Sus scrofa: one gene and its partners. The protein of the gene in region 6 purifies or fractionates together with the protein of the main gene of each other region. This does not show direct contact. Links are inferred from orthologs where the notes say so. Each region holds a gene or a part of one and is shown on either strand. Other genes may lie near its edges.

Evidence for each region.
Region 1: the proteins of SMAD3 (region 6) and FOXO3 purify together in Homo sapiens (affinity purification with western blotting; 3 studies listed by BioGRID and IntAct, with this or other methods). This does not show direct contact. The link is inferred for Sus scrofa from reciprocal best matches to the Homo sapiens genes SMAD3 and FOXO3.
Region 2: the proteins of SMAD3 (region 6) and USP15 purify together in Homo sapiens (affinity purification with western blotting; 4 studies listed by BioGRID). This does not show direct contact. The link is inferred for Sus scrofa from reciprocal best matches to the Homo sapiens genes SMAD3 and USP15.
Region 3: the proteins of SMAD3 (region 6) and RUNX2 purify together in Homo sapiens (affinity purification with western blotting; 3 studies listed by BioGRID). This does not show direct contact. The link is inferred for Sus scrofa from reciprocal best matches to the Homo sapiens genes SMAD3 and RUNX2.
Region 4: the proteins of SMAD3 (region 6) and SP1 purify together in Homo sapiens (affinity purification with western blotting; 7 studies listed by BioGRID, with this or other methods). This does not show direct contact. The link is inferred for Sus scrofa from reciprocal best matches to the Homo sapiens genes SMAD3 and SP1.
Region 5: the proteins of SMAD3 (region 6) and CTNNB1 purify together in Homo sapiens (affinity purification with western blotting; 6 studies listed by BioGRID, with this or other methods). This does not show direct contact. The link is inferred for Sus scrofa from reciprocal best matches to the Homo sapiens genes SMAD3 and CTNNB1.
Region 7: the proteins of SMAD3 (region 6) and TRIM33 purify together in Homo sapiens (affinity purification with western blotting; 7 studies listed by BioGRID and IntAct, with this or other methods). This does not show direct contact. The link is inferred for Sus scrofa from reciprocal best matches to the Homo sapiens genes SMAD3 and TRIM33.

What each region holds. Positions count from the first base shown.
Region 1 is NC_010443.5:74,737,750-74,741,959, reverse strand, and holds part of FOXO3 (forkhead box protein O3), read right to left. Parts: coding exon 3,523-4,210; 3' UTR 3,488-3,522; intron 1-3,487. UniProt on the Homo sapiens protein: Transcriptional activator that recognizes and binds to the DNA sequence 5'-[AG]TAAA[TC]A-3' and regulates different processes, such as apoptosis and autophagy.
Region 2 is NC_010447.5:26,963,159-26,967,851, reverse strand, and holds the start of USP15 (ubiquitin carboxyl-terminal hydrolase 15), read right to left. Parts: upstream 3,339-4,693; 5' UTR 3,014-3,338; coding exon 2,925-3,013; intron 1-2,924. UniProt on the Homo sapiens protein: Hydrolase that removes conjugated ubiquitin from target proteins and regulates various pathways such as the TGF-beta receptor signaling, NF-kappa-B and RNF41/NRDP1-PRKN pathways.
Region 3 is NC_010449.5:40,104,911-40,109,686, forward strand, and holds the start of RUNX2 (runt-related transcription factor 2), read left to right. Parts: upstream 1-1,670; 5' UTR 1,671-1,775; coding exon 1,776-1,913; intron 1,914-2,113; coding exon 2,114-2,237; intron 2,238-4,776. UniProt on the Homo sapiens protein: Transcription factor involved in osteoblastic differentiation and skeletal morphogenesis. Essential for the maturation of osteoblasts and both intramembranous and endochondral ossification.
Region 4 is NC_010447.5:18,626,204-18,630,370, reverse strand, and holds part of SP1 (transcription factor Sp1), read right to left. Parts: intron 1,580-4,167; coding exon 1,380-1,579; intron 969-1,379; coding exon 655-968; 3' UTR 1-654. UniProt on the Homo sapiens protein: Transcription factor that can activate or repress transcription in response to physiological and pathological stimuli.
Region 5 is NC_010455.5:25,198,219-25,202,428, reverse strand, and holds part of CTNNB1 (catenin beta-1), read right to left. Parts: intron 2,219-4,210; coding exon 2,115-2,218; intron 2,036-2,114; coding exon 1,697-2,035; intron 1,419-1,696; coding exon 1,260-1,418; intron 1-1,259. UniProt on the Homo sapiens protein: Key downstream component of the canonical Wnt signaling pathway.
Region 6 is NC_010443.5:165,113,017-165,117,226, forward strand, and holds part of SMAD3 (mothers against decapentaplegic homolog 3), read left to right. Parts: intron 1-1,498; coding exon 1,499-1,636; intron 1,637-4,210. UniProt on the Homo sapiens protein: Receptor-regulated SMAD (R-SMAD) that is an intracellular signal transducer and transcriptional modulator activated by TGF-beta (transforming growth factor) and activin type 1 receptor kinases.
Region 7 is NC_010446.5:106,183,201-106,187,410, reverse strand, and holds part of TRIM33 (E3 ubiquitin-protein ligase TRIM33), read right to left. Parts: intron 2,994-4,210; coding exon 2,870-2,993; intron 1,184-2,869; coding exon 1,109-1,183; intron 1-1,108. UniProt on the Homo sapiens protein: Acts as an E3 ubiquitin-protein ligase. Promotes SMAD4 ubiquitination, nuclear exclusion and degradation via the ubiquitin proteasome pathway. According to PubMed:16751102, does not promote a decrease in the level of endogenous SMAD4.

The DNA of each region.
Region 1 (4,210 bases), about 90 Mb from region 6:
CACCACACTGGCTCACAGACATGCCTGCTACCAATCTTCAAGTATGTGCATCAAGCTTCATGAGCGCCTGAGAGAAGAAAGTGCCCTTCACACCCAGTAGCTGGTGCGCATAAGAAAGTACAGTGATTTTTTTCCTTTTCTAGATAGACCTGTAGGTCAAAGGATTTCACACGTGGTCTAAAATGAATGGCGTGTGTGAAACACCCAGCTCTCCAGAGAAGCATCTCACCACGGCTCTCCGGCAAGACTGTCTGTCAATTGGACAGAACGGCTCCATTAATTCCACAACTTGACGGCTCCCACTCAGGGTCCTGTGACTTTAGTTAGCAAGTCAGGAAGTGGGGCTGGAGAATACAACAACTATTGGCTTCAATCAAAAAAAAAAAAAAGTCAGGAGTTCCTGTTGTGGCTCAGTGGTTAACGAATCTAGGAACCCTGAGGTTGTGGGTTTGACCCCTGGCCTTGCTCTGTGGGTTAAGGATCTGGCATTGCTGTGAGCTGTGGTATAGGTCACAGACATGGCTTGGATCCCATGTTGCTGTGGCTCTGGTGTAGGCTGGTGGCTATAACTCCAATTAGACCCCTAGCCTGGGAACCTCCATAGAGAAGACAAAAAAAAAAAAGTCAGAGTTTCCCATTGTGGCTCAGCAGAAACAAATCCAGCTAGTATCCATGAGGATGCAGGTTTGAGCTCAGGCCTTGCTCCGTTGGTTAAGGATCCTGTGTTGCTGTGGCTGTGGTGTAGGTCAGCAGCTGTAGCTGTGACTCGACCCCTAGCTGGGAACTTCCAAATGCTTTGGGTGCAGCTCTTCAAAAAAAAAAAAAAGTCAAATCAAAGAAAGCCATGACAGAAGAAGGCTTGGGAAGCTGGGCTGCTAAATTTGGGAGAAATGAGTTTTGAGACTATGACCTAAGGCTTGCCTTGTGAATTTAGGAGAAACTTCCATAAAGTGATGGCATGAATTCAGTGTCAAAGTAAAGAATCTATATTAGGCCACATATGCTCCCAGCTGAGAGGAGCAGTTCATTCCAAAGCAAAATGGAAATTGTACACTCAGAAACCAAGCCTCCCTCAGAGGCCTTGGCTTTCTTCAGGATGTTTCCTCTCTTGCTCTGGTCATACTGAGCTGGTTTAGTTTCAGGAAAATTTGGTGACTTCCCATATATATATTTTTTTTAACTTCAGAAATATTTTCTCAAAAAAACTTCCCTCAAAATGTTTTGAGGTGACTAAACGTCCCTGTTTCCAATAGGGTATAATCACAAAATGGGTAATCTTAAAAGTAGGTAGTAATCTTAAAAATATGTGTAGTCTCAAAAGCAGTTTATTATCAAAATAGTAATGATTCATTAAATACATTTTTAAAAGTTAAGTATTTAAATCTCCCTTAAAATGTTTTTATACAATCTTTTAGAATTACACACACACACACACGAAAGGTCTGCTCTTCAGCTAAGAGGAAAACCTACACTTGAAAAGTCAGACAAAAACCGACAGCACATTTTCTTCTCTCAGTCTTTTCAGTGAGCTAGAATGTGGATGCCTTACAACGAAACCAAAATTAAAACCTCCTTGGGTCTTTAGAAGCCACAATCACATTTCTCTTCTTAAAGGAAGACAAACTATTCTTCTGAAAGCCAAATATCTGAATTTCTCAAGGCAAATCTCCCCCATTCCGAGTTTTGGCAGCATGAAAGTGTGTCACCCTATTTGGCTTCTGTTGCAGTCTTTTTACCATCTCAAGGGCTATTAAATGACTGGAAACAGATGTCTGAGAACCATTAGGGGCCTGCTTCTGCCTGGGAAAGCAGAGAAGCTGAGCATCACAACACTCGACATTCCCTTTTCTACAACTATGTGTGAGCTGGATGGCGCACCGCAGGGACCCTGGTAATTCCTTCACCAGGGCAGAGGGTTAAACAAGGCTCAGCTTTTTATGGCTTTGAATCCCACTTCTCTTTCCCACCACTTAAAGAAGAGTAGCTTGCTGACATTTAAGAGAAAAAAAAAAAAAAAGAAAAAAGAAAAAAGAGGACCCGGGGCATAGAACAGAGCCCCCAAACATGGGAAGTAGAGTTGTGCAAGCCTGTGAGCAAAAGACCTGATGCTCATTTTGCTACTTGAAAGGGAGAGTTGTTTGAGGGCAAGCTTGTATATTATCTGCTCCTCTGGCTCCAGTTCAGAGCATTTCCCATTTTCACCATCTAGAGATAATTAGAAAGAACAACTACGGTTCAAGCCATTTCAGAAATTGGGATTCTGGGTCTAGCTGTGTGACCCTGGGCAAACTACTTAACCTTCCTGGGCTCCCTGTTTACTCATCTGTCTGTCAGTATGTTTACCTAATTACACCATACATATTTCAAACCATTGTGGTTTTAAAAGCACTTTTGCACATTTCAGTGTTTAAGGATTCCATTTTAGGGCCTTTTTTGGGGGGAGGGGAGCTGCGGCTGCAGTGTGCCGCAGCTTGATGTGGGATCTCAGTTCCCAGACCAAGGACTGAATGTGGGCCACAGTGGTGAAAGCACTGAGTCCTAACCACTAGACCACCAGGGAACTCCCAGTGCATCTGACGCTTGCAATAACCCCATTAAGCAACAGGGGTTATTATCCTCATGGTATAAAGCTGGCAACTGAGGCTCAGAGGCTAAGTGACACACTTCCGATAGCAGCCAGAAAGCAAGAGAAGTGGAACCGAATCCTCAACTTCTGATTCCAAGCAAATGCTTTTCTTTCCATATCATGTTGCATGATCTTTCTGGTTCCAACAGAATTAAAATGCCACAATTTAAAAAAATCTGTCTCCATTCACAACCCATGTCACTGTTTGGAATCTGACATCTTTTATACTTCGGGGAAAACGAAGCATGTGAAAAAGTGCTCTCTCACATAAACACTTCTGTTTTCAATTGAATTCTTTTGCTCTTTTAAATACTTAGATGCTAAGTGCTAACTAGTAAAGATGCTTAGTACTAGTGGTGAAGAATCTAACAGGTCTGGCTCCTGGTAGACATACTCCTGTATGAAAGAGTCCAGAATACACAGTCTACAGTTATATTAGAAGTACCCAAAAACTGTTACTTTACTGAAAAAGAAAGATATAAAACCCACAGCATGGAAGATCGACAATGGCAGAGCTGGACCTGAGACTCTAAGAAAGTCCACTGCTGGGTCCTTAACCTTGACATTTGTGTGGCCTAAGGTCCCCTTCCTCCTTTCCCTTGTCTCCTCATCCATCCATCCAATAGGGGGACCTGTGTCATAGGTCAGTGAGGGTGACTGGACGCAAAGAAAAACGAAAGCCTCTGGTAAAAGTCCTGAGCTGTCAGCAAACTGTGGGGAGGGGACCCTGACGGCCCTATTTGTTTTGCAGGTACAACTCAGAAAGAACCGGGTGGGAGCAGGTTACCATGCACCAGGTATACAAAAGGCGGTTCCCTACCCCCACCCCGTTACCACTACGCCACAGCACTGGGCACTGACCTGCTCTGCCCACTTCCCCTTTCCTCAGTGAGCCTTCAGCCTGGCACCCAGCTCTGAGATGAGGCCTGCTTAGCACCAGTGAAGCTCCCCACGTTCAAACCAACAACGTTCTGTGTGGAGATGAGGGAATCAAAGTTAAAATCCAACCCGTCAGCATCCATGAGTTCGCTACGGATAATGGACTCCATGTCACATTCCAAGCTCCCGTTGAACATGTCCAGGTCCAAGTCGCTGGGGAACTTCTCGTGGCCCATGACGGGAAGGTTCGCACTCGTTGAGTACAAGGAGGAGCCTGAGAGGGAGTCCGAGAGGGTTTGCATAGACTGGCTGACAGGAGACTGCTGCTGGTGTTTGGCTGACCCGAGGCTGCTTGAGTCGCTCAAGCCCATGCTGCTGACGGAATTCGACAAGGCACGGCTGCCACCGAGAGCGCCCTGGGTTTGGTGCTGGTGGTGGAGCAAGTTCTGATTGACCAAACTCCCCTGGTTAGGCTGGGCGGCAAAGGACATCATTGGGTCACTGCGAAGCATCACGTTCCGGCGGGAGTTCTGGGCGGACACAGCGGTGCTGGCCTGAGACATCAAGGGGTCCGACTGGGTCATCATGACATCGCTGTGGCTGAGTGAGTCCGACGTGAGCAGGTCCTGGAGTGTCTGGTTGCCGTAGTGCGACATGGAAGAGAAGGTGGCTGGCTTGTTCTCTTGGATGGTCTGCATGGGCGCC
Region 2 (4,693 bases), on a different chromosome or scaffold from region 6:
AACTCTCTTGCATCAATTTGGACTTTCTGTCACCATGAAGCCTACTACCAAATATAAGGTTTGTTTCTCCTCATCGGAGACATGTGTTAACTTATTTTCATCTTAGACAGTCAGTTTGCAGATAAAAATCATTCACTATTTACAGATAAAGAGAAATTCTGTTATTCACACAGAATCAAATCATTATCCTTTACCAGGTGTTAGCATTAATTTCTAGAGTACTAAGAGGTAGCCCTTATCGGCGAAGTGCTCACAACCTAATTAAGAAAATTCATTCATTTGAATACATTTGACTATAACATCAAATATGAGTATTAAAATTTCAAGAATAAACTCGTGGTAAACCTACCATTTTTTCCTCAATAGTCTAATCAGTCTTTCCAAGATGGTTATATACAGATATTAAAACAATGTTCCATTTGCATATGGCTGGTTTCAAGAGTAGCACACAGGATTTGTTCAAATACCCCCAAATGACTAATCCAATGATTTTTTAAAAAGACATTAAAAACAGAAAGAAGTTTTTAACAAGTTTTAATGAGTTCAAAAAACATGAGCCCAAGTTACAACTAATTTATTAAGCATCTTTACCAGTTCTGTACTCATGGATACATTATCAAATTTGTGCTTATCAAATTACTCTTCTTAAACTCTGAATCAAACTTCTGATAATTCCTTTTTGGGCAGGTTTCACCTCCAAGTAACTGGCTCATATATAAACCAAACTAGTTTCTGCAGCATCCCAGTATCATCTTGTTTATTCATTTTTTCCTTTAAATAAGAGGGGAAATTAATTGTGAGGATCAACATTTGCACATTCTGCTGTTACCTAAATATCTGGTTTTCAGTTTCCTTTTCTTTCAAATGAAAGCACTGAAATGACTCAAATGTATAGACTTCTTGTATTTGCTCTTTTAAAGAGATCTTTAAAATGATTTACAGTAACTTTGGCAAAAAACAAAAATGCTGAATTTTAAAGTTTAATGTTCATAATACACATAGTACTCCTAACATCCTGCAGTGTCAACACCACCAATTATTACACAGTATACCAATGTTAATACAACATTTAATGTCAACACAACATTAAACCCAATAAACATAAGTAATATCCAAATAAGTATCTCTAAATTTTAGATTTCTATTTTGTGGAAATCTACATTTATCTTTTTATGAGGTGGTAACAGGCAAAGTAAATTAAGAATCTGAAATTTTTTAAGTTCTTTTTTTTTTTTTTTTCAGCATTCAGTGGGATTCCCAGATCAGGGATTGGACCCTGGGCTGCAACAGTGCAAGTGCCAAGTCCTAATCACTAGATCACCAGGGAACTCCCTAAAGTGCCCTTTAACAAACAATAAGAAGCAAGCATTCATTTCATCTGTAAGGATCCATAGGGCAAGGCAAACATAAATGTCCTAGGAAAAGTCCAATTTCCCCACAGTAATAAACGCCTGGAGGCACACATTGGAAGAACACTCCAATATGCACAACAATGATTTTTAAGTCTGATTTTTTTTTTTCTGTAATGCAACAAAAATATATTTACACCCTCAGGGATCATATAAACATAGTATGCAGCCTAACAAAGTAGGATAAAAGTACCAAGACTTACATCAAAGTATTAAAATTCAAGTCCCATGTCTGCCATCTATTTAGCTTACTTGAAAATGATCCTAATACCTTGGCATTTTATCAGAAATGACAGTGATAAGATAACTAAGATTTAATTTCTCATAAACAGAAAATCTTTTAGAACATTTCACTGAAGTCAAGTAAACTCCTATAATGAAATTATTCTTGTCCACTTCATAGATGAAGATACGAAGGTGCAATGGTTTAAATTAACCTTCCTCAAAGTCATACTGCAAGTTAAGTGGTGGAAAGGTAACCTAACGCGGGTCTAAATCTTAGGCTCCTTCCACTAAGCAATATTGAGTAAACGAAAAAACACTCCGCAAATTATATGCCACTGTTACGGTGAAGATGGGAAGTGAAAATTTTTATTGTAATAAAGCAGTACATTAGCCTTCCTAATAAAACACAGCATTTGTGTTACATATTCACATAACTGAAGTTATTCTGGATATCACTTGATATGGCCCACAAACATTAAAATCACCAAATACTTCGTTCAGTATTTCAAACTGTAGCATTTCGTATTTCATAAGTTTGAATGTTAGCAAGTGACTTAAGCCTCAAGTAGACTTATCTACATTTTGCAGGCCTATGTTATCCTTCAAACCGGAGGGAAAGGCTGCACTTCTAAAAGAAACGCTGCCGGAGTCTATCCAGCCTCCACTAAAGCACAGGACCACGTGGTATCTATCACTCAGAAGCCTAAGGTTCCCGACTCCTCTCCCTCCTTTTGACAAGGAACCAGAAACTAAGGTTCCTCTCTCTTAAGTGGCGCCCTGACACATGCCACCTGTGCAGTACGAACCGCAGACATCCTGCAGTCGGCCTCCCGGAAGAATACGAGAATCAGAACAGGGAACTTGGATGTCGACAATGCCGGGAAAGGAAATGACTAAAGAAGTAAAGAGGGTGAGATCGCGATCCACCGTGGGACCAAGACCTGTCAAACATTAAGAGACTCGCACCCAACGACTGTAACCTATCCTTTGGGAAGGCCTGAGGTGGGAGCGGCACTACCAGAGGAAAAAGGACGAAGAGAACTGCACGAGCCGCCGCCGCCGCTCCCCGCAAGGCTCCCAGCATGCCCCGACGAGCCACGAACCCCGGCCCTCATTTCAGGTCCGATCTTTGCCCCAATCTTTCCGGAGCGGCCAAAATCCTGCTGCCCGAAGGCGGCCGCCGCCGGACCTGCCCGCACCTGTCACCAGCGAAAGACACCAGCCCGCAGTTCCCGCCCAGTTCTCCACCACCCTCGGGCAACCACAGCCATCTCAGTCGCTTTCCCTTACCAGGTGTCTCCTTTCCGGAGGGAGGTTTTGAGCAGCGTCGCGATGTCAGACCGCTGGATGTCCAGATCTGCCGCTCCGCCTTCCGCCATCTTCTTCCACTAGCGGTAGCGGAGGCGGCAGCGACAGCGGCGGCACGCTCCAGAGCATTGTGGGAATGGCGTCCCGCGGCCCCTCCCAGTCAGCAGGTCGAAACCAAAAGAGACGTAAGGGTGGGGGGGTGCGCCTGCAGACAAGAGTTGGCTCCGGGCGGAGTGAGTGCATTGCCATGGTCTGCTGCTCCCCATCGGCCCCCGCCGTCCAGCAGCTCGCCTCGGCCTCCTCCGGCCGGGGACCGCCTGGTTTTAAGTCTCCTCTCTAGGGCCTCGGTCCTCTCTCGCTTGAGCGGTGCTACCGCCCGATCCATCCTCGACTTCTGCCTTCCCCTCCCTCTTTCCCACAGACGCCTGAAAACCCTTATTTGCGCATTCACTCACGCTTGAGGGTGGGGCGAGGCGGGGGGCGTGGGGACGACTAAAATATGGCAGAGGATTTCAGCAACTCCGTGACTCGAGTCTTTCGTTGCGAGTCGCAGAACCTAAACTCAATGAATTTTGGACCAAATGGAGAACAATCCGAAACCGAACGCTTAGCCGCAGTGCTCTTTCTGGGCTCTTCCTTGCGCTTCTACTATTGCTGTAGGTGGAGACCTTTTATAGGCTCTTTGTGACGCCTCCCCAGGCACACCCTGGCAGCTAAGCTGCAATGAAAAACATGTTCCAGTTCCTCAGTGAACAGGGTGTGAAATATATATCGAATAATGCCGGGTACTAAAGGGAGAAAAGATGGGCGAGAAACTCTCCTCAATGTTATGAAGTCATATATTCTTATCTTCCCATAATGTATACACCTGAAGCTAGATAATACCTATTATTTGACGCCAATTACTTTATAAATGGGGAAATCGAGTCTCAGAAATCAAATGCTAAGGTCATGCCGTAAGTGGACAGGCAAGTTTATACCCAACCCGTCGGCTGTCTATTCACTATAATACACCCATTACTTCTCCTTATGAAAGCTTGAACTAAAAGGTAAACTGGGTTATGCTAGCTTTTTTTTTTTTTTTTAACCTTTTACAACTGGTGCCTAGCACAATGCTGCCTAACACATAAGAACTACCTAAATATGTGTTTAATTAATGAATTGTGGCAAACTGCTTAAGTAGTTCCAAGCATGAAGATGTCCAGAGATTTGACTTTAAGATAACGTGATGTGAAAAGGCTAAAGATGAATAAGAATTCCTACATAATCTCTCTTTTTTTACTTATTTTCGACCTCTACCATAACTCATTTGGTGGGAATGCAGTAAATGGGTGCAATATGCTAGTAAGAAGTGCTGACCCCTTCCAAGTTACGGTAATGTATATTGGCATTATAATTTGCATATAGCAACATTATGATTGCTTATTTCCTTTAAAATAATACTATTTTGCACTTTCGTGTTATCCTTGATTTGAAATTCTGAAACAGCTTCCAGGTACTGTATTGCTTGTACTATTTGACTTTTCTTTTGACAGGTTAAAATAAACATAATTTGTTTAACTATGAGTATCATCAAAGGGTCACACCTCCCTTCTTTCCCACTCAACCTCTGAAAGAGAGCGTAGTATTTTCCTAAGAGAGGCAGCATGGTATGGGAAGAATAGTGACTTCATGTTCAAAACTTCACTTCAACCTCTAGTTGCAAAGCATTTAACTTATAGTTTAGTCATTAGGTAATACTTATGTTAAAG
Region 3 (4,776 bases), on a different chromosome or scaffold from region 6:
ATCATCAAAAGTTTATTATGAAAAAGTTCTAGACATTTAAATGATAAAAGATGAAAGTCATTCCCACAAGTTCCTAGCATATTTTGGGCAAATTATTTTTTTGTAAAGAGACTCATAAACATGTTAGTACATTTATCTTTACCGACTGTAAACCAAAAGCAGATAACGAACAGTACTAAGATGACCACACAAAGGGGTATTTTGGCTCTCGCATCTCTCTTAGCATTCTCCAGCACTTACCCCGTTAAACACCCCAAATAATGTCTTGTAGTTCATGTCTCCGCCCACCCTCCCAGTCATTTACTTCGTGCCACTCCTGGTTACTATCACACTAGGAAGAAGTCTAACATGCAAATTCAGAGTGGCGTGGATAAATGGCAAAAAAATGCCTAGAAAATTGGTCTGTTCGGCTTCATAATTTTTGTTGAAAAAATACCCTATTGCTCTCAACTGATGAAAACAGGAAGCTCTATTCATAAATATGAAATTCTCTGCCTATGATATATAATCATCCTAATAAGAAAATGAGTTCTATACATACATGTCCAAAGGGGCAAAAAAGGAGATAGTTTCCCAAAGATGTTTCCAATTTTCTTCTGAATCAGAATTAGCAAATCGAGACGACTAACATACTCTGTCTGTGTGCATTATTCCTTACTACACACAGCATTTTGTAATTTATTTCAAACCCTATATTATAAACAAAAAATACAATTTTCTGTTAACCCACTCTACTCTGAGCTTGGAAAAATCAATCACATTGAACAATCTACATTACAACATAAGAATTTTATTTTATGTTTGTATCAGATTTCCTATCAAAGGATAAAGTTAATATCCAAATAAACTATTCAAAGGATTATACAAGATGAAAAATAAAATTACAAGCATAAAGAAAACTAAGATTCATCCAATAACTGACAGTTCTTGCCCTTCACTTTTATAAGATCCTCAAACTAGCCATGAGAAAAAGGTAAACATGATATAAAAGATACTAATTACATTTAATCTTTTTGTAGAAGCCGGCATCTAATATTGATCATACATCAACTAGACAGACATGATTTAATATTTGTAAAGGAATCCCCAGACTAACACTTTCATGACAGCCAATTACAGTCAAGCCCAGCAAGCAGTTTGCAACCAGACCTTTAGAAAGGTAAACTTTTTTACAATGAGTTACAGATTCACAAGTTTAAGAAGACAAGAAAAAGGAAAACAGAAGGACTCCAAACACCCAGCAAATATGAAGCAGACCCCAGAATGTGATACAATCCAAAGATGTAAATTATTGTAAATCATCACTGTTGTTCAGAATTTCACACACAGCCTCTTGAGCCAATTTTGCTCATTTTTCCGCAGACACAATAATGAACTAAATAAAAGGAGGAGGCACAAAACAGTGGGAGTGGGGGGACAGAAAGGAAAGCCCACAACTGCAGAGCTCTGCTCTACAAATGCTTAACCTTCCAGGAGTTAGGGCTCCTTCAGCATTTGTATTCTATCCAAATCCTCATGAGTCACAAAAATTAAAAAGCTATATCCTTCTGGATGCCAGGAAGGGCCTTACCACAAGCCTTTTGTCAGAGAGAGAGAGAGGGAGAGAGAGAGAGGAAGAGAGAGAGAGAGCAAGAGCTGGGGGGAAAGCCACAGTGGTAGGCAGTCCCACTTGACTGTGAGTACTGTGAGGTCACAAACCACATGATTCTGTCTCTCCAGTAATAGTGCTTGCAAAAAAAGGAGTTTTAAAGCTTTTGCTTTTTTGGATTGTGTGAATGCTTCATTCGCCTCACAAACAACCACAGAACCACAAGTGCGGTGCAAACTTTCTCCAGGAGGACAGCAAGAAGTCTCTGGTTTTTAAATGGTTAATCTCCGCAGGTCACTACCAGCCACCGAGACCAACAGAGGCAGTGAGTGCTCTCTAACCACAGTCTGTGCAGTAATAGTAGGTCCTTCAAATATTTGCTCATTCTCTTTTTGTTTTGTTTCCTTGCTTTTCACATGTTACCAGCTACATAATTTCTTGACAGAAAAAAATAAATATCAAGTCTATGTACTGCAGGCATACTGTAAAACTAAAACAAGGTTTGGGTATGGTTTGTGTTTTCAGTTTAAGGCTGCAAGCAGAATTTACAACAGAGGGTACAAGTTCTATCTGAAAAAAAAAGGAGGGACTATGGCATCAAACAGCCTCTTCAGCACAGTGACACCATGTCAGCAAAACTTCTTTTGGGGTAAGTGTTATCATATTTTAAAATCCTCTAAGAGATGAACCTGTTAAACATAAAGGTATGTTTCTTGCATAAACTGCTAGCTTTTCCGGATACCATTCTATTAAAGATCATAATAATGCTATTTTGTTGCACTAGAAGTTGAAAAATGAAATTACTGTACAATTTGCATTTGCCATCTGTAACTTATCTACTTCTCGGACTAATGACTTGAAACAGAAAAGATTATCTCACATTAGTCTAAATGTTTTCTAGAGTTATAGAAATGAGGTAGTTGAAACAGTAAAGTTTAATATTCTCATTAACCCTCACTGAAATAAAAGTAGACATTAAATTAATCAAAGTATTGTGAAATAGTCACTCCGGCAGCTCCCAGTATTTGAGCAAACTTTAAAAAGGAAGCAATTTTACAAAATAACAGACCAAAGAATTATCCTGACATTATACTCTACCATGTAAAACAGAGAAATAAACCTGTAGTATAACTAACGTTTTAACCAGCTCAACTAAAAGAAATTTACAATTTTAAACTGCATCATAAGATACCTGCTTTGTTTCCTAAGCTGTTTGTTTCTACACAGCTTTACATAGTTGAGGCATATATTCAACTGAAATAAAATTATAAGTATATAACAGCCATTTTTTAGATTTTTAGAGTTGCCCAGGATATCCAGGATAATGAAAAGCTCATAGAAGTCTTTAAAAAACTTAACTTAACGTGCAATTATAATTTTCATTTACATCCACACACTATTCTCCATTGGTAGAACTTGTTATAAACACATAGCAAACATTGAAACGTCTAGGATTCTTTTAATCATATTCTAGAACTACCAAAATGAGTATCGTTTCATCTCATAAAAAATAATACTCTGAAAGGATACCCTGCATGATTTAAAAGAGCCATACCAATTAAGTCATGCTGGACTTTAAAAGAAAACAGGCAAAATATAGTTCCTTAATATTTCAATTTCAAGTCAGTGTTGCTTCACAAAAGTAAACTACTTCAGCATTCATGAGCCAACATGGTATTATACAGTAAAATATCTAAACACTTACAAGATTTTCTTTATGATGTCCAACATGTTCCAACTACAAGGCAAGTTTATAAAATTTTCTTTTATCCTTTGAAATAAACCCTTTGGCTGTGTATATCTGTATTAACTTTTGCTTTATAACTTACAACTAACGATTGGAGTTTCCTTTACTCCTCCTACTTCACACATTTTAACTGGCTACCAGAGGATCAGTCTTAGTTTTGGTCAAAGAGAAATAATTAAACCTGACGGAGAAAAAAGGATTTCTCTTAAAAGGGTGAGGAAATGTACTTTGTATTTTACCAAAAAATGTAAAATTGCTGCAGTAACTCCCTCGGTGGCTCTAAGTGGGCCCCTCAGTTATAACACATACAATATAATAATCACAGATTACTTCTCCGATTTAATGAAAGATAATGAGCATTTCTGTAAAAATCTCTGCATTAAGGAAACAGAACATACATACAACTAGACTGCATGAACAACTCCTATTATAATTACAGCTTATACACAGAAACTTTTGCTGTTCCTACCCAAGAGATGAGGGAAAAAATGGTTAAAACTATTGTTATATGGAGGGGTAACTTGAAGCAGGCATCTATCTCAAGCAGTTAAGTTACTCTTCACAATATTCCTCTGTTTAAAAACAAAAAAATTTTCAAACCAGACTGGGAACAACACAAATTTCAAGGACTACTTCAGCATTAGACATACAAGTTATTAACATAATCACAAAGAATATTTTTAAATGTTCTTTATGCTATCATATGAGGGAGTCTTATATTTCTATAACAATCCTTAACAACTATTTCTATAGTAAAATTTTCGAAATTTGACCAAGTGTCGAACAAGGCATGATCTATCACGTGTCATATACATTTAGACATTATAACTAATTCTTTCTCTTCTGAAAAGTGGAATTTCCCTCTCCCACTCCCAAATAGTACTTGAGAGCCTGGACAGAGAACGTAAGATGAACCCATCACAGCGGACTAATTACAGGTGGGTGGGGGACACTGTGTATAGGTTATCATCACACTGCAAACATTTCTCCATTCTGTCATCTTTCTGAAGTCTCAAACCTCACTTCAGGCTTTAAATTCTTACGTAATGATTATCAGAACAACCTAATGAAATGTCAAAAAGTAGGTGCTCTGATTTTTGTAAAATAGTTTTTAAAATTAGGCTCTTCCTAGGCGAGGGACAAAGCACATGCTGACCAACTGTCTCACCTCAAAATAATGAGTGAAAATAATGTGTATGCAAGAGAGAGACAGAGACAGTGAGAGACAAAAAAGTGTTTCAGTGTCCTTGCTCTCTCAGCAAACCATTTATCTCAAGAATTATCTGTACTACTCAAAATCTGTCCATTATTTATCATACATAAAGTCCGTTAAAACAACAGATGTAACTAATGGAGTATCCTACCATTAAGAACTAATTTATGAAAATATATCCGCTGACAGACTAATTTCTACCTAAAACCTCTGTGCCTGATTGAACAT
Region 4 (4,167 bases), on a different chromosome or scaffold from region 6:
TGTATGTATATATAAACTAAAAGCAGAGCATATAAATGCTTAATCTGGTGGGAAGCCAAGACAACATCTGTAGAAAATCTTGATGTGTCACAACAAGGCTCAGCCATAAGGAAATAAGGCAATATAAAAAAAAAAAAAATGACCAAGGTATTTTGGTCACAGAATGGTCTCCTTCCTCCTCCCAGCCAACCCCTGCAAATGCATCTCTATATATCTTTTATATATATATATATATATATATAATATAGAATCTGTTTTTTGTTAAAAAGTATTTCAATGATCATATATATTTATCAAGGCATGATGGCTTTAGGAAAGGGGGGATCCATCATGGGGGAGCTGAGAAGGGAAATGCAGGACGGGGAGGCTGGGGTAAGAAGTGTTAAGAAACTGTCTGGGGTCAAACAAATGCTCATCAAAGGGTGGCACCAACAGAATTTTCACTAATGTTTCCCACTTCAAGGAGGTATTGATGATATAGGTGGGTGCCAGGACCCCATCTCTTCTCTTGTAGCCCTCCCCCAATTCTTCCCACCACCATGCATTTTTAATGCCTCATGGCTCGCTCTCCCACATGTCTCTTGGACCCAAGCTACCTTGCATCCCAGGGTTGATGGGTATGGCCCATATGTCTCTAGCCCTGGGTGCCTGATCTCAGAAGCCATTGCCACTGATATTAATGGACTGCAGATCCGCCACCTGCATGACGTTGATGCCACTGTTGGCAAGACGGGCAATACCCTCTGGACAGATGGCCTCCATGGCTACCATGTTGGTAGTAATAAGGGCTGAAGGGGTGGCAGTGCCGCTGCCTTCCGAACCTGCCCCACTGTCCAGGGGCAAAGTGCCCACACTTAGGGCTACACCTGGGCCTCCTTTCTTATTCTGGTGGGTCTTGATATGCTTTGACAGGTGGTCACTTCTCATGAAGCGCTTGGGACACTCAGGGCAGGCAAATTTCTTCTCACCTAGGTAAAAGAAGAGAATGAAGAAACTGACATCTCAGGAAGTAGGGGTACCTTCTATTCACTGCTTTCAAACTATACAATGTAGAATAAGGCTAATCTTGGTGATTGAAAACAAGAAAATCTGGTGAATATCTTCTGCCTTTGGCGGGGGGGACAACAAATAGGTAATGGTTGGGGAGTACTCAGAAAGGAAGGAATAATGCAGAAAAGTAAGGCAGTACTTTTAAAACCCCCAGTCAAAAACTAGCTCTTTCCTTCTTAAAGGTTTTCCAAATTAACTCCAACACCCTATGTGATCCATACATTCAGTTTCAAACATGAGTTGCTCAGAAATTTTAGTTATTTCATAGGTAAATTTGGTGTTTTTCTCTTGTCTATTACTACTTTTCCCTTTCCCAAATTCCTGCTCACCTGTGTGTGTGCGTTTATGCCTCTGTAACTCATCCGAACGTGTGAAGCGTTTCCCACAGTATGACCAGGTACACATGAATGGTCTCTCGCCTGTATGCCAGCGCAAGTGTGCCCGTAGGTGTGAGGTCTTGCCATATACTTTGCCACAACCTTGCATGTGGCAAATGTGCTGTTTCTTTTTGCCAGGATCCCCGGAGCCCCTGAAAGTGAGAACATAATTACTCATCATTCATTCTAGAGACAAAAAATAATCACAAAGTATCCACAGTAATTACTAGGTCTACTCAAAACTAACGCAAATCTTTTTTTTGTTTTTAATTTTTTTTTTTTTTTTTTTTTTTTTTTTTTGTCTTTTTGCCATTTCTTGGGCCGCTCCCGCGGCATATGGAGGTTCCCAGGCTAGGGGTTTAATCAGAGCTGTAGTTGCCAGCTTATGCCAGAGCCACAGCAACGCAGGATCCGAGCCGAGTCTGCGACCTACACCACAGCTCACGGCAACGCCAGATCGTTAACCCCCTGAGCAAGGGCAGGGACCGAACCCGCAACCTCATGGTTCCTAGTCGGATTCGTTAACCACTGCGCCACGACGGGAACTCCTTTTTTTTTTAATTTTTAAATTAAAAATTTAATTAGACAGGAACTCTAAAATTTTTGGTCACAACCATAGCATGTGGAAGTTCTTGGATCAGGGATCAAACCCACGCCACAGCAGTGGCAATACTGGATCCCCAACCCGCTGCACCACCAGAGAACTCCTGAACTTATTTTTACTTTTTAAATTTTTTTTAATTTTTCTTTTTTGCCATTTCTTGGGCTGCTCCCATGGCATAGGAAGTTCCCAGGCTAGGGGTCTAATCAGAGCTGGAGCCACCAGCCTATGCCAGACCCACAGCAACACGTGATCTGTGCTAAGTCTGCAACATACACCACAGCTCATGGCAACGCCGGATCCTTAACCCACTGAGCAAGGCCAGGGATCAAACCTGCAACCTCATGGTTCCTAGTCGGATTTGTTAACCACAGAGCCACGACAGGAATTCCCTGAACTTATTTTTAAAAAAGTCTTCTTAGATGGAGTTCCTGTTGTGGCGCAACCGAAATGCATACAACTAGGAACCATGAAGTTGTGGGTTCAATCCCTGGCCTTCCTCAGTTGGGTTGAGGATCTGGCACTGCTGTGAGCTGCGCTGTAGGTCACAGATGAAGCTCAGATTCCGAGTTGCTGTGGCTATGGTGTAGGCCAGCAGCTGAAGCTCTGATTTGACCCCTAGCCTGGGAACCTCCATATGCCTCCAGTGCGGCCCTAAAAAGCAAAAAAAAAAAAAAAAAAAAAAAAAATCTTCTTAGAGTTGTTCCTACTACTATGGTAATACAGTGGGTTAAGGACCCAGTGTTGCTGCAACCCTGGCATAAGCTGCAGCTGCAGATCAGATTCAAACCCTGGCCCTGGAAACTTCCAGATGCTGCCGGTGAAGCCAATAAAAAGGGCAAATCTTTAGTCAATTCTAATGTTTGAAGAGATAATCATTCTCGCAGTAATTTGTAAAATGTAAGGCGTTTTCTTGCATTTTTCTGTGGCTGTGGTGTAAGCCGGCAGTTGAAGCTCCAATTCAACCCCTAGCCTGGGAACTTCCATGTGCGGCCCTAAAAAGAAAAAAAAAAAAAAATCCATAGATTTCAGAAGATGGTGAAATATCAGAGACTTCAGTGGAAGAGGAAGATGGAATGGATAGACAGAAGAAATAAGGACTCTAACTAATTCAAGGCATACAAAAAAATATTCCTTATATGGAGCAAATTTTGAGAAACTTAAATTGCAAAATGTTTTTCCAAATCAATTTGTACCATGTGTGATCCATTAGTGGGCAATGGAGATTTCCAAGAGGGACTTTTCTAGGGTTCTAATAGCACATATTAGTGGGGGTGGGGGGGAACCATAACGGAAATGACATCACACTTAGGTGCAAATCAGAAAGCTTCCTTCTAATTTCTAAAACATTTAAATCCACTCTAGGCTTTGTTAGAGTGAAACTCCATTGTACTTCCTGCTTTTGATACAGGTTTTTCCTGTAATGTAGGGTAACTACAAATAATTCAAATTATGTTTTTTGTTTTGGTACATTTCTTATTTTTGTGATTTTGTGTGTGGTTGTGTCTTTTCTAGGGCTGCACCCTGGGCATATGGAGGTTTCCAGGGCAGGGGTCTAATTGGAGCTGTAGCTGCTGGCCTACATCACAGCTCACAGCAACACCGGATCCTTAACCCACTGAGCGAGGTCAGGGATCGAACCTGAAACCTTATGGTTCCTAATTGGATTCGTTAACCACTGAGCCACAAAGGGAACTCCGTTTTGGGGATTTTTAAGGGGACAAAATTTTTTTTTTTTAAATAAGCAGATTTAAGTTTCTTTTTTTTTGTCTTTTGAGGGCCGAACCAGCGGTGTATAGAGGTTCCCAGGCTAGGGGTCTATTTGGAACTGTAGCTGCCGGCCTACGCCACAGCCACAGCAACACCAGATCTGAGCTGCATCTGCGACCTACACCACAGCTCATAGCAACACCGGATCCTTAACCCTCTGAGCAAGGCCAGGGATCGAATCTGCAACCTCATGGTTCCTAGTCGGATTCGTTTCCACTGCGCCATGATGAGAACTCCTTAATGGGATAAAATTTTAACAGATTTTTTTCAAAGGCATTTAAATAACTATGTGACTTTTAACTCTCAAAATCAGTGACCTGAAGGAAAAGAATGTCACGTGGAACTCTCCATTGATAATACTGAATAGCT
Region 5 (4,210 bases), on a different chromosome or scaffold from region 6:
ACACTCCAATAAAATTTTTAAAAAGATACACAAAGATGGTAAAGAAATGTGCTGTATCAGTGTTTTCTTTCAGATACTCCCTCTATCTTTGTACATCTAAAAGTTTTATTACCAACTGCTAAAATTCTGTTGAGCTGCCAGTAGAAAACCCACTCACCTCCTTCTGAGACTATTCTGCTTTCCCTGTTTCTGAGTTTTAAATAAGGTTAAAATTCTGCTAATTTTAGAAGTTTTTATATTCAACCTTTTTTTTTTCCCCCTCGGCTGAACCCTCAACATATGAAAGTTCCTGGGCCAGAGACTGAATCTGAGCCATATCTGTGACCTACGCCACAGCTGTGGCAACACTGGATCCTTAACCTACTGTGCTACAGTGGAAACTCCCTCAACTTGATTTTTATGAAGACACTAAAATTCCTTTCTTCAAAAGAGATTTTGAAAGGTATCCTTTGAATTAATGGATAGATAAAAAGTACCCTTTGCATCCTATTAAGTCACCTCATGGAGATGGGCCAATACCAAGTCATAAATGGAGAAAGCCAAAGCCCCCTAACAAATGCATACATATCACAACCACCAATAAGTCTTAAGACCTGTTCTGGTTAGGTCTTGTTCTCTAAAGTAACCTGATTAAATGAGACTCTTTGAAGGTCTGGGTCATTTTAAAATACATTCTGAGGAATCAGAAGTATCTTTAGATACTTGTAATGAAGAGCTAGTTTCAAGACTGCAAACTTGACCTCAACGCCTTAAGGCTAAGAAGATTTCAGAAATGCTACTACTTATTCTTGTAATTTGTTGGTATTCTTAAGTCCATGAAAATAGTTTAAATCACTCTTAGAAGAGATAGTAAAAGGTGTGTTAAATATTTATAGATAGAAATGTAGCTCTGAAATCAGACTTGGATTCAAATTATGGCTCTGCTATTTTCTGAGGAGTTGAACCTGTGTGTGGATTAATTGAGACCCCACAACAAGAAGTTACACTCTCCACACTCCCTTTGTAAGACTGATGAGGCAATGATATTAAGGCCATGTCAAGGGAAATATCACTAGGGGACACATTACTCCAAATAAGGATCTTTTCTGCAACCACAGTGACATGTTGGGTTTTTGTTTTTTGTTTTTTAACCATTAGCAAGCAGCCCTTCAGCAGGCAGGAAGATGGATGGAGGGGAGCCAATAACCAAATAGTTTAGGATTCTATGGATTTATGCATTCCTTTTAAATAAGTGGATGTCACTATTAAGATTTACCTACCACAAACTGTTGCTGTGTTCCACCCATGGACGTACGGCGCTGGGTATCCTGATGAGCACGAACCAGCAACTGAACTAGTCGTGGAATGGCACCCTGCTCTCGCAAAGGTGCATGATTTGCTGGACAAAGGGCAAGATTTCGAATCAATCCAACGGTAGCCTGTAGACAAGAAGGACGAGTGACAAACTGTCATACAACTCAGCAAAATCATTTTCTTATCTTAAAATCCCTGCCACACTAAATCTATTGCTATCACTTGAAAGCAGAGCTGACTACACAAACGCTTCAAACCCCTACCCCATCCCAGTTATTATTTCCTATTTAGTAAAGAATACAACTCCTATTTATCAATCCCTGACACCTAGACAGCCATCTAATAACAGCTAGAGATAGTTCATTTTCAATTCAGCAACCTTCTACTCTGATTGACAACTTACCTTGATGAGAGGCCAATGGGATGGTGGATGTAGGAGTTTAACCACAACTGGTAGTCCGTAGTGAAGGCGAACAGCATTCTGGGCCATCTCAGCTTCCTGGTGTCGGCTGGTCAGATGACGGAGAGCACAGATGGCAGGTTCAGTGATGTCCTCCCTGTCACCAGCACGAAGGACAGTACGCACAAGAGCCTCTATACCACCCACTTGGCACACCATCATCTTGTTTTTATAATTATTGCAAGTGAGATTAGAAAGAATTCCAGCTGCACAGGTAACCACATTTATATCATCCGAGCCCAGAAGCTGAACAAGGGTCCCAAGAAGACCTTCCATCCCTTCCTATGGAGATGAAAACAGACGCTCAGTACAAATTCAGCTTGACTTTTATCACTATGGTGCCACTTTACTGAGAATTTACCTGTTTAGTTGCAGCATCTGAAAGATTCCTAAGAGTCCAAAGACAGTTCTGAACAAGACGTTGACTTGGATCTGTCAGATGAAGTCCTAAAGCTTGCATTCCACCTGAAATGATTAAAAAATATCTAAGGCGATGTCTACTAGCTCACAATTCCTACTAAGTGTCTTCTCTAGTCTTAGAGGATGCCCCTCTTTATTGTCATTGCTTGTTCCCCCAATCTGAGTCCTTTATTTCCTTTTGTGTCTAGAATGCTGCTCAGTTTCCCCTTTTCAGTTTACTTCAACTAGTGACAACTTCTGTCAAGTACCTGTAGTTTCTTCCCTATGTGAAAAGAGCTTTCATTACCTCCACAGTCCTCCTTGTAGGTAATATGACTATTACGTATTTCCTTTCATCCTGTCATTTCAAAAATATTTAATAACAGGCCCTGTTTAGAGTTGGAGCTATACCAGTGAGGAAAATAGCCTAAAATTCCTACCTTCATAGAGCTTATGGTCTAATTGGAGACAGACAAGAAACACGCATACAAATTAGTAAGCTAAATATAGTACGTCAAATGGTGTTAAGTGCTACAAAAAAAAGGGAACTGAGGGGTAAAGAGCATACTTAGGTCAGTGTGAAGGTGACATCTGTGCAAAGACCTGAAGGAGCTATATAATCTCATGAAGTGAGAACAATCCAAAAAAAGGCAATGGAATGCTTATTGCCTGAGGCTCTGTAAAAGGCACTGACTCCAAAAGCTGTGCTCCAAAGATTCACAACCTTCTGTCATTTAGGTCTCTGACTGACACTGGCAGAGGAATCTAAATGGAGGCTCAGTTCCCTACAGATTGGCTTAACTTCACTCTCTCTCTCCTACTGAAATCCCTTGTAAATGCAGTGAAATACACTGTCCCTTGTCTCCTTGTTCATCTCTTCAGGTCTGTTTTAGTCCCTCAATTAGGTTATGTCTATTTGCTATAATTCTCAAGGCACCTCGTACTTTTTCTTCACAGCATCAAACACAACTATAATTTAGCCTTCCTCTCCTACAAGACAAGATCATCCCTGCCTGGTTTCTTCCTCACAGAAGCTCCAGCTGCTAAGAAAGTGACCTGCACAAGGCTGATGCTCAGTATTTCTTAAATGACTCAATTCCCTTCTACCTTTTCTCCCTCACAGACTTCGTTTCCTCCCTTTACTATAAGTATTAACTCTCACGAGGGTGGATATCAATTCCGGATAGCCTGTAGAGACTTAAAAAGACACACATTCTGATTCCACCTGTCTAGGATCAAAGTCCTGTGCAGATGACTGTGAGGGAGCCCTACCTCTTCCCTGTAGCCCTCACCCACATACACTAAGAGGGCAACTCCCAAATCTCTATACTAGCCCAGTCTTCCCTTGCATTCCAGTAGTATGTATTTCTAGCTACCTACTGACCTTTTAGTCACTTTGAATATGTGAGCTTCTTAAGTAACATTTACCCTTTGCTACATATATTTAATATCAAACAGTTTCATTCCTAGGAGGCTATAACACATCTCAGTGGCCTGGTCTGCTTGCCTTTGGTTATTCAAACTGTCATACAATGCTTGCAATTTTTTTTTTTTTTTGCTTTTCAGGGCTGCACTTGCGGCATTTGCAAGTTCCCAGGCTAGGGGTCAAATCGGAGCTACAGCTGCCAGCCTATGCCACACCCACAGCAACTCCAGATCTGAGCCATGTCTGCGACTATGCTGCAGCTAATGGTAACACCAGATCCTTAACCCATGGAGTGGGGCCAGGGATCAAACGCACATCCTCATGGATACTAGTTGGGTTCGTAACCACAGCAGGACCTCCCACAATGCTGGTATTACTATTTCAAACCCGCCATGGCTCAGTGGTTAATGAATCTGACTGGCATCCATGAGGACCCAGGTTCAATCCCTAGCCTTGCTCAGGGGGTTAAGGATCTGGCACTGCCATGAGCTGTAGTGTAGGCCAGCGGCTACAGCTCTGATTCGACCCTTAGCCTGGGAACCTCCATATGCTGCAGGTGTGGCCCTAAAAAGCAAAAAAAAAAAAAAAACAAAAAAACAAAAAAACAAAAAATTCCAAACAGCACACCTCAT
Region 6 (4,210 bases):
TTCCAGGGAAGACCCTGACGGACAGGCAGGGAAGGGCAGAGGCCACACAGCAAGTGTGACACAGTCAGTGGCAAAGAGTCCCTGCTGCTGAGCCTTCATCCTTCCCAGACAGCCTCCCCATTTGTTTTACTTTTTAAAAGATCCTAGATGGCATACACAGGTGTTTACTCACTCACTTTACACTTTTCTCTATTTAAAATATGTCAGAAATTATCAAAACGAGAACAAATGTTTTTGTCCTTTGGGTCTGGGTCTTTCCACCTGTGCCTCTGCCTCCTGATCATTTTTTTGGGAGGGGGCGCACCCATGGCATATGGAAGTTCCCAGGCTAGGAGTCAAATCAGAGCTGTAGCCACTGGCCTGTCACCACAGCCATGCCAGATGTGAGCCGCATCTGACCTACACCACAGCTCACGGCAACACCAGATCCTTAGCTCACTGAGCGAGGCCAGTGATGGAACCTGCGTCATGGATACCAGTCAGATTCGTTTCCGCTGAGCCACGACGGGAACTCCTCTGCCTCCTACTCTTGACTGACATAACGCTGGGGCCCTCCCTGTGGCCCCCAACTCTGCCAGCACCCGGTGTCTGTGAGACGCCAAGTCCTATAACACTGAACCAGGAAGAACTGGGGAGTGGTGGTGATGAGGACAATGGTGGGACGAGGAGGCAGGCCTGTAGTCAGTCCCCTGGTTTCCATCCCATTTGACGTTGCGCCTGTGAAATCTGGCTCCGTTCTCCAGCCCTCCAGGCCTCTCCCCCCAGGAGCGGGAACAGAGACCTTTCCAGGCAGGAGAAGAGAACATCCCCTGGCTGAGCAGAGACTCATTGTCAGAGGGTTTATGTAACCACTTGAATTGCAGAGCCAATTTAAAAATAATTCCTGTCCATCTGGAGTGGATTTAAGAGATGAAGGGAAAGTAAATGATATAAACCTATGGAATGTTTTAGAAAAATGCTTCCAGGAGAGAAAGGTACGGGGGTGGAGGGGCATTCATTAAGTCATCCCTGCAGTGAGGGGCTCCTGGGGTATCTGCTGCCTCAGGAAGAGCTCTGCAGTGACTCCGTGAATTTCTGAATCTTGGAGCGGGTCGGGACCTAGTAGTAGAAGTAGCAGGAGCAGCAGTTAATGCTTGTCAGGCCCTTACTGAGTGTCTTAACAACAACCCAATGAGGTGTAGGTAGTATCATCCCCATCTTACAGATGAAGAAACTAAGGCTTAGAGGCTGAGTAACTTGGCTGAGGCCCTGGTCAGTGGCAGGAGCTGCTGTTTAGGCTTAGCTGTGCCCTTTGCTCATCACCAGCCTCCCCAGCTTTAGGAACCCAGCATCACCCATCACTTTTGATGGGTTTAGGCTTGGGCTCTGGTCCCATTTGCCTGGTGATACCAGCAAAGAACCAGTCACCTGGAGCATTGGCTGTAGCTCTCTTCAGCTGGTGCCAGGGCCACTGTGTGAGGACCAAAGGCCTGGTCCAGACTGACCTGAGTTTCTCTAGGGCGAGGCGTGCGGCTGTACTACATTGGAGGGGAGGTCTTCGCAGAGTGCCTCAGTGACAGCGCCATCTTTGTCCAGTCACCCAACTGTAACCAGCGCTATGGCTGGCACCCAGCCACCGTCTGCAAGATCCCACCAGGTAACACCACCTACACACCTACCCCTTCCCTGAGGTCCTCTCCTCCAAGGCACATGCCTCGGATGCAGGGGAGGTTTCTTCTTACCATTTCTCCTCAGTGGTGTTTGCATGGCCAATCTGGAGGTGCTTCGCTTGATTTTTCTCTGTGGCTTGCTCTCTCACTCTGAGCTTCCTGAACCTCTGAGGAGCAGATGCAGCATCTGACAGATCTGCCTCTCACCTGTGGGTACCTGCTCATTGCCTGTGTGCAGAGATGCTCAGGTGGTGTGCTGGCTAGCTTCCCTCTTTCCTTCCGCCATTCCAGATGCGGAGCTGGAGGGGAGCAGGAAGCCCTGCTGCTATCCCCACAGACCTTACCCATCATCTCAGTGTACAAGGCAAAGATACAAGTGGGTTTAATACAAGGGAGGGTGCTAAGCACCAAGTAGGCAGCACAGGTAAGGTGCTCTTGGATCTAAGGGGGAAAACACATTGAATTATTAGGATGGATCAAGGAAGCTTCTTGGAGGAGAAGAGCTTGGGCTGGGAAGGATGGGTAAGTATTAGATGCACAGAGGGATGGGGTGGGGACCGTGAGGGCATTCAGGCAGAGGGAACATTATGGGCAAAGGCCCAGCGGTGATGGAGGGCAGGGCACGTGTGGGCAGCGCTCTGGCTGCAGCAGAGGCCCTGTAAGAGACAGTCAGGGATCATGTTTTGAAAGTTTGATGGAACCAAGCCATGGAAAGATGTGAGAAAGTTTTGTTTTTATTTGGGGGCCCTGTTGAGGGTTTTCTGAGTCGGGCTGTGAATCCCACTTGTACTCCAAGAGGAGTCAGGCTCACCCCAGACGGTGGCTTGAACAGGGCCAGGTCTGGGTAGAGGACCAGGCAGGAGGTGATCTTATCCAAATCCTTTTCACAGCAAAAGCGGAGGCAGAAAGCCCCCGCGAAACCCACTTTTCCCAGGGCGGGCAGCCGCAGAGCATGCAGTGTGCCTGACTGGGAGAGTGTGTAGCTTAGGTCGTTGCCTGTGGGGGTGTGTGTGTGTGTGTGTGATGTCTTCCTGCCTGCTAAGTAGCAGGTGATGCTGGAGAGCAGTGGGCCACTGGCAGGGTCAGCTTAAGAAGGAAGAGTCTGGGAGTTCTTGATATGGCTCAGGGGTTAAAGGCCTGACGTCTCTATGTGGATGTGGTTCAATCCCTAGCCTCAATCAGTGGGCTAAGGATCTGGGGTTGCTGTGAGCTGCAGTTTGGGTCACAGGTGCAGCTCAGATCTGGTGTGGCTGTGGCTGTGGCCTGTAGCTCCCATTTGACCCTGGCACAGAGGGAACTTCCATATGCCATAGGTGCCTTTAAGAAGACAAAAACAAAAAAAAAAGAAGAATGCAGAGTCTGAGTTGCCTAGCGATGCTGTTTCCGGGATGTCACATGGTTGTGTTTACAGAGCACATGTCTATCTCGGGTCTCACTTAGTTCCCTCCAGTAACCCTAGCTCTACAGGGGGAGGCATGTTGAAGAGACAAGTTCAGAGAGGTTAAGCCACCTTCTAAGGACACACAGCCAGTAAGTGGCTGAGCCAGGATGAGCCTATCGCTGTGTGCTTCTTGCTGCTTGCTTGGCAGGGGGCTGGAGCCCACCTTTGACCCTGCTTCACCCCGCTTCCCCTCAGAGAAAAACGAGAAGAGGAAGCCAGGCTGCGTTCTTGACTTTGTGCCCATCCCTTCACCCCGCCCTCCTTGTCTCTGGTGAGGGCAAAGCTGGCTGTGGTGGTGGTTGTTAGCTCATGGAATGTCAGAGCTGGGGGCCTTTGAGGCCAGTCTCTCCTTTACAAGGGAGACACAGGGCTTAGAAGAGAAAGTGACCAGCCCAGAGTCACACAGCAAGCCGAGGGGCCCAGGGTGGCCCATTAGCAAGTGTCACCTCAGCTCACCTTTTGGGCATTTCCAGCATGTGCTTTTTGTCTTTTATTTTTCCGGTTGACACATTCCTGGCACAGAGGCGGCAGGACTTCAAACAAAAGATTTATTATAAACTTCATGTGTGCCTGTCTCTAGTTTTCCTGCCTGGGGAGTTAGGCATACACCTTGGCTTTGCTGCGAATGTCACCTTGACCCAGTCTTGTGCCCACAAGGCCAAATGTGGCCCAGACCTCTTTTTCCCTCCCGGCCCCGGCAGAGGTGGCTTCCTCAGTGAGGCTGGGGTGGAGGGCAGCCAGGGACCCTCTGCAGAGCTTCCTGTGGGCACGGCCTGCCTCCGGCACTCCCGCCATGCAAGAGCAGGGGCTGCTGTTGCCCAGGCTGTCCGCCACACCCCACACCACCATGGACCTTCTGTTCTCTCTGTTCCCTGGAGTCTTGCCTTGGCCCCTTTGCCCAGGGCAGGGCCACCTCTCCCCGCCCATCTCCCTTGTTCCTGGGCCCACCTTGCTAACTTCCTCAGCATTCCCACTCTGGGGCTCGGAGCCTACAGGCCAGTGTTTAACTCCCCCCTCACCCATGTCAGCTGCGTCCGCTTCAGGGCGGTGATGGCTTCAAGGGCAGGGAGTGGGAACACTCGTCCAGGTGAATGGGGGGGGCACCTTCAGCCCGGGGAGG
Region 7 (4,210 bases), on a different chromosome or scaffold from region 6:
CTATGGTTGTGACATAGGCTGGTGGCTACAGCTTCGATTTGACCCCTAGTCTGGAAACCTCCATATGCTGTGGGTGTGGCCCTAAAAAGCAAAAAGCAAAAAAAAAAAAAAAAATCCATTTCTGAGCTTACCTAGTAAACAAATTACTATTCAATACTCTATATAACCTGCCTGGTATTCAATACTTTAATTCAATAACTGATGGCAACCAAATAAAATATGTGTAGCATCTTCTCATCCCATTTATGAGGCACTGAGCATCCCTGGTATTCTCTTTCACTATGGGGTTTTGGAGCCTTTATTCCTTACAAAAGTCTCCTTTAAGATAAAGGGTATTGGCTTACAAAATAAAGGGTTTTTGAAGGCAGAACCAATGTGAAAGATTCAACTTTACACTTTATTCAAATGAATTCTTATATAGAGATTGTTTTCTCCCCAAGGTACAGATCCTAGAATCACAGAACTGGAATCTTAGAAATAATTTAGTCCAATATTCCCACTATATAGTTTAAAAAAGTAGAGGCAGAGAGTTCTCTTGTAGTGCAGCAGGTTGAGGATCTGGCATTGTCATTGCCCTGGTTCAGGAACTTCCACTTGCTGCAGGCAGAAAATTACATAATTTCCCCAAAGTTACAAGGTTGGTTAATGGCAGAACTAGGAGAAGAAGTTAAGTCTTTTGATTCCCAGTTCAAGATTTTTTCTATTATACCTGTACCTAAAATCCCTTATGTCCATCTCAAAAGTAAAAGAGGACATGGTGATTAAATTCATTAAGTTTTCATCACTGCAACAAAGTCTTTAAAAACAGACTGCAATTTTAACAAGTGAATTTTATATGCCACTTACCCTAATAAATCATAAGTACGTCTTATTAATCAGAAATTTTATCAGGTACTATGCTAAAACATTTTACACAGGTTATGTGTGGAATCCTCAAAATAACCCAAAAAGGGAAGAAACAGTATTAGAAAAGAGAACTTAATAAGCACCTTGATTGAGGAAATTATTCAAGAAGCCTTAGTTTTAACATCAGTCTAAGGCTATGGCCCATACCCTTAAGTATTATACTAAACATCTTCACTAGGAAGGTACTAACTAAATAACTCACCGAAGCAGGAACTGGCTCCTGAAATTCAATACTTAATTCATGGCAATAGAGGTAAAGCAGAAGACGTTCACATTTCTGGCCCAAGAAAAAAAAGGAAAATCTATGAAATGTTATTCTCACGAATATCTTAGGGAGAAGAGAACTTTCTCAGTATTATTACAACAAAACTGAAAATAAGCCTCCTAGATACATACTAGTTATCCAACAAAATATACACACCCAAAGAAAACTACCTTGTTTCCCATTTAGTGTCCTACTTTAAATGAACTTTATCAAAGACAGAGTGGCTGTGTTCTTATTTGATTAAAAAGTAGGTAAATTGGAGTTCCCGTCATGGCTCAGCAATTAATGAATCTGACTAGGAACCCTAAGGTTGCAGGTTTGATCCCTGGCCTTGCTCAGTGAGTTAAGGATCTGGCGTTGCTGTGAGCTGTGGTATAGGTCACAGATGCGGCTGTGATCCCACATTGCTGTGGCTGTGGCTGGCGGCTAGAGCTCTGATTAGACCCCTAGCTGGGGAATCTCCATATGCCGCGGGTGCAGCCCTAGAAAAGACAAAAAAATAAAATAAACTCAGATAATTTACCTACTTCTAACTACACAAATGGAAAGAAGTCATAAATGCAATATACACAGCATTCTATACAAAAATTTATCATTGTTGCTACTCATTGTAATTCCCTGAGGCAGGCAAGACACAGTCTATATTCTGGCGCCCCCCCCTCCCTTTTATGGCCACACCCATGGCACATGGAAGCTCCTGGGCCTGGGACTGAATCTAGGCCGAAGCAGCAGCTACTGTGGGGATTCTTAACCCACTGTGCCACAGCAGGAACTCCCTTTTTTTTGGGCGGGGAGGGGGGGGTCAGGTGGTGGGGGAGGGGGTTGGCTATTCCCTTTCTTGAAAGGATTCTGCTTAGGTTCAAAATTAAATAAAAACTGTCTTCTCAATCTCAATCCAATTCCAGAATTTTTTTATACAATCAGAATAAAATTGAAAGGCAATTTTACATTTATAGTTTTTATCTGCTTAAATTTCTTTTAGCATATGTTTCTATACTCTAAATACATACCTTCTCCTCAAAGACAGTGGAGGATGAATTTTGCAAGTTTATACATCAGATCAAAGCCAAACATAACTGTAATGGCCACAAAACTATGTGACAGACACTCTGTCTTTGGAAATCAAACTAGACCAGATCAACAAAAATATGAGTGAAATCAGAGGATTTTAGATTTCATTCTATGATGGGAAGCTATATTAGAGGATTTTTAAGCAAGGAAGGGAGAGAGCTGCTGACATATTTTTTAAAAAAGAACAGTACAGAAAATGGGCTGTAAGGGGCAAGAGAGTAGATCAGGGAATTCAGTAAAGAGATTATTAAAACAATGCAGATGAAAAATTATGATGGCTATCTCAGAAGGTAATGGTGGGGGGAATAGGAAAATGGTGATGATGGGGACTACGGGGGGAGGAATGCAGCTTTTTTATGTTATTTGCTTGTTTTTATTGATTTCTAATGCTCTCCTTCAAAAAGCAGCATTTCACAACCAAAATCTTAAGTATGAGGATGCTTGATATAAAAGCCTGGAGCTGAGGGCTAGAGATAAAGATTTCAGAAGTCAGGAACATACTATCAGAGAGATTAAAAAAAAAGGAAATTTATCAGGTTACATGTATATTACATGAAGAAGGACAAAAAGATGTACAGCCAGACAACTACAGAATCCGTATAATAAATCAAGTTGTTTGACACTTACCCTTTGGTCCACGGGGCTTAACCCCTGTACAGTTTTCCCCTTTTTGCTATGCTGTAAATTATCACAATCATATTCAACTTCTGGTTTCCCAATATCTCTGCAAAATGTGCATATCCAGTCCCCACTAAAGAAGGAAATAGGCAATTAGTCCATGTAATTACAACAAAACTTGCTCTAAGGAAGCTAATTCTCCAGTGTCTTGTTTCCTTTCCAGTTTGTGTGGAAAAGAGAGGTACTATTTCTGCCTCATCTCATAAAGTAAAGCTGTGTGATGAAAACTTCCAAAAACGTTTCCACTCTTCAACTGACCACCTTCTGGAAAGCAGTAAAAAACCACTATCTCTATTCAAATAGCTGAATATCAGCTATTTGATAAACAAGCTGAAGATCAGAACTTGTAGCTTAAGACCAATTTTTAAAACCCAGTTATCACCATCACAGTGACGCCACATGCACGAAGAAGAGTACAGGATACAGAGTTTCTCAGCTATCTTGTACTGTTTTAGCATGTATTAAACATGTCAAAAATAATCGTGTTTTTTTTTTCATGTCTGATCTTTTAAATCTGCTCAGTCAATAGTTTATGGTTTGACAGAAATCCTAATATAAACTCTGATACATTACTTCACATGCATTCTCTCCTTTCCCTCCTCCTTCATATATGCATTCTAAATCCAGGGATTACACTAACACTGTGTCAACACTTTCGATTTCTTCCACAGCATCTGCCTTTGAGAGAAAGCTTTCATGGCAAAATCATAACATTCCAGCAGATGTTACTACCCAAAAGAAATAAAAGCATTGGCATTTTGGTCTTGAAATTAAGGCTTTTTCTTTTCTAAGAGTGAAGATAAAGGCCGTTAGAAGATATAGTCATTTGCCATAGATGTACTAAGATTTAAGTGAGAATTACAGTTCTTTAGAAAAATATTCAGGTACTATTCATATATGTCCACTTTTCTAATACTAAAGGTTGCTTTAGTTGAATAATGCTGCCCTTTTTGAAAAATTCAATTACTTCTTAGGAATCTGAGAAGAGATGTGAACTTTTTTGTCTACAGGTAGAAAGAAGGTGGGTTTTCCCAAGGACACTGGTTTACTTTAAAAAAAAAAAAAAAACCGCAAAACTTGGGGGTAAGGGTTAGGGAAGGAAGGCTGAAAGAATTAAGTATGAATCCACTTATCTTATGGTGTCTAAAATCAACTGAAGATGAAACTGCATGAGCATACATATGTTAACCACTAGGCCACCATGGAACTCCTTAAGAATTTGTCATTGTCACTGTGGCAGCTTGGGTTCAATCCCTGGCCCAGGAACTTCTGCATGCCATGAGCATGCCC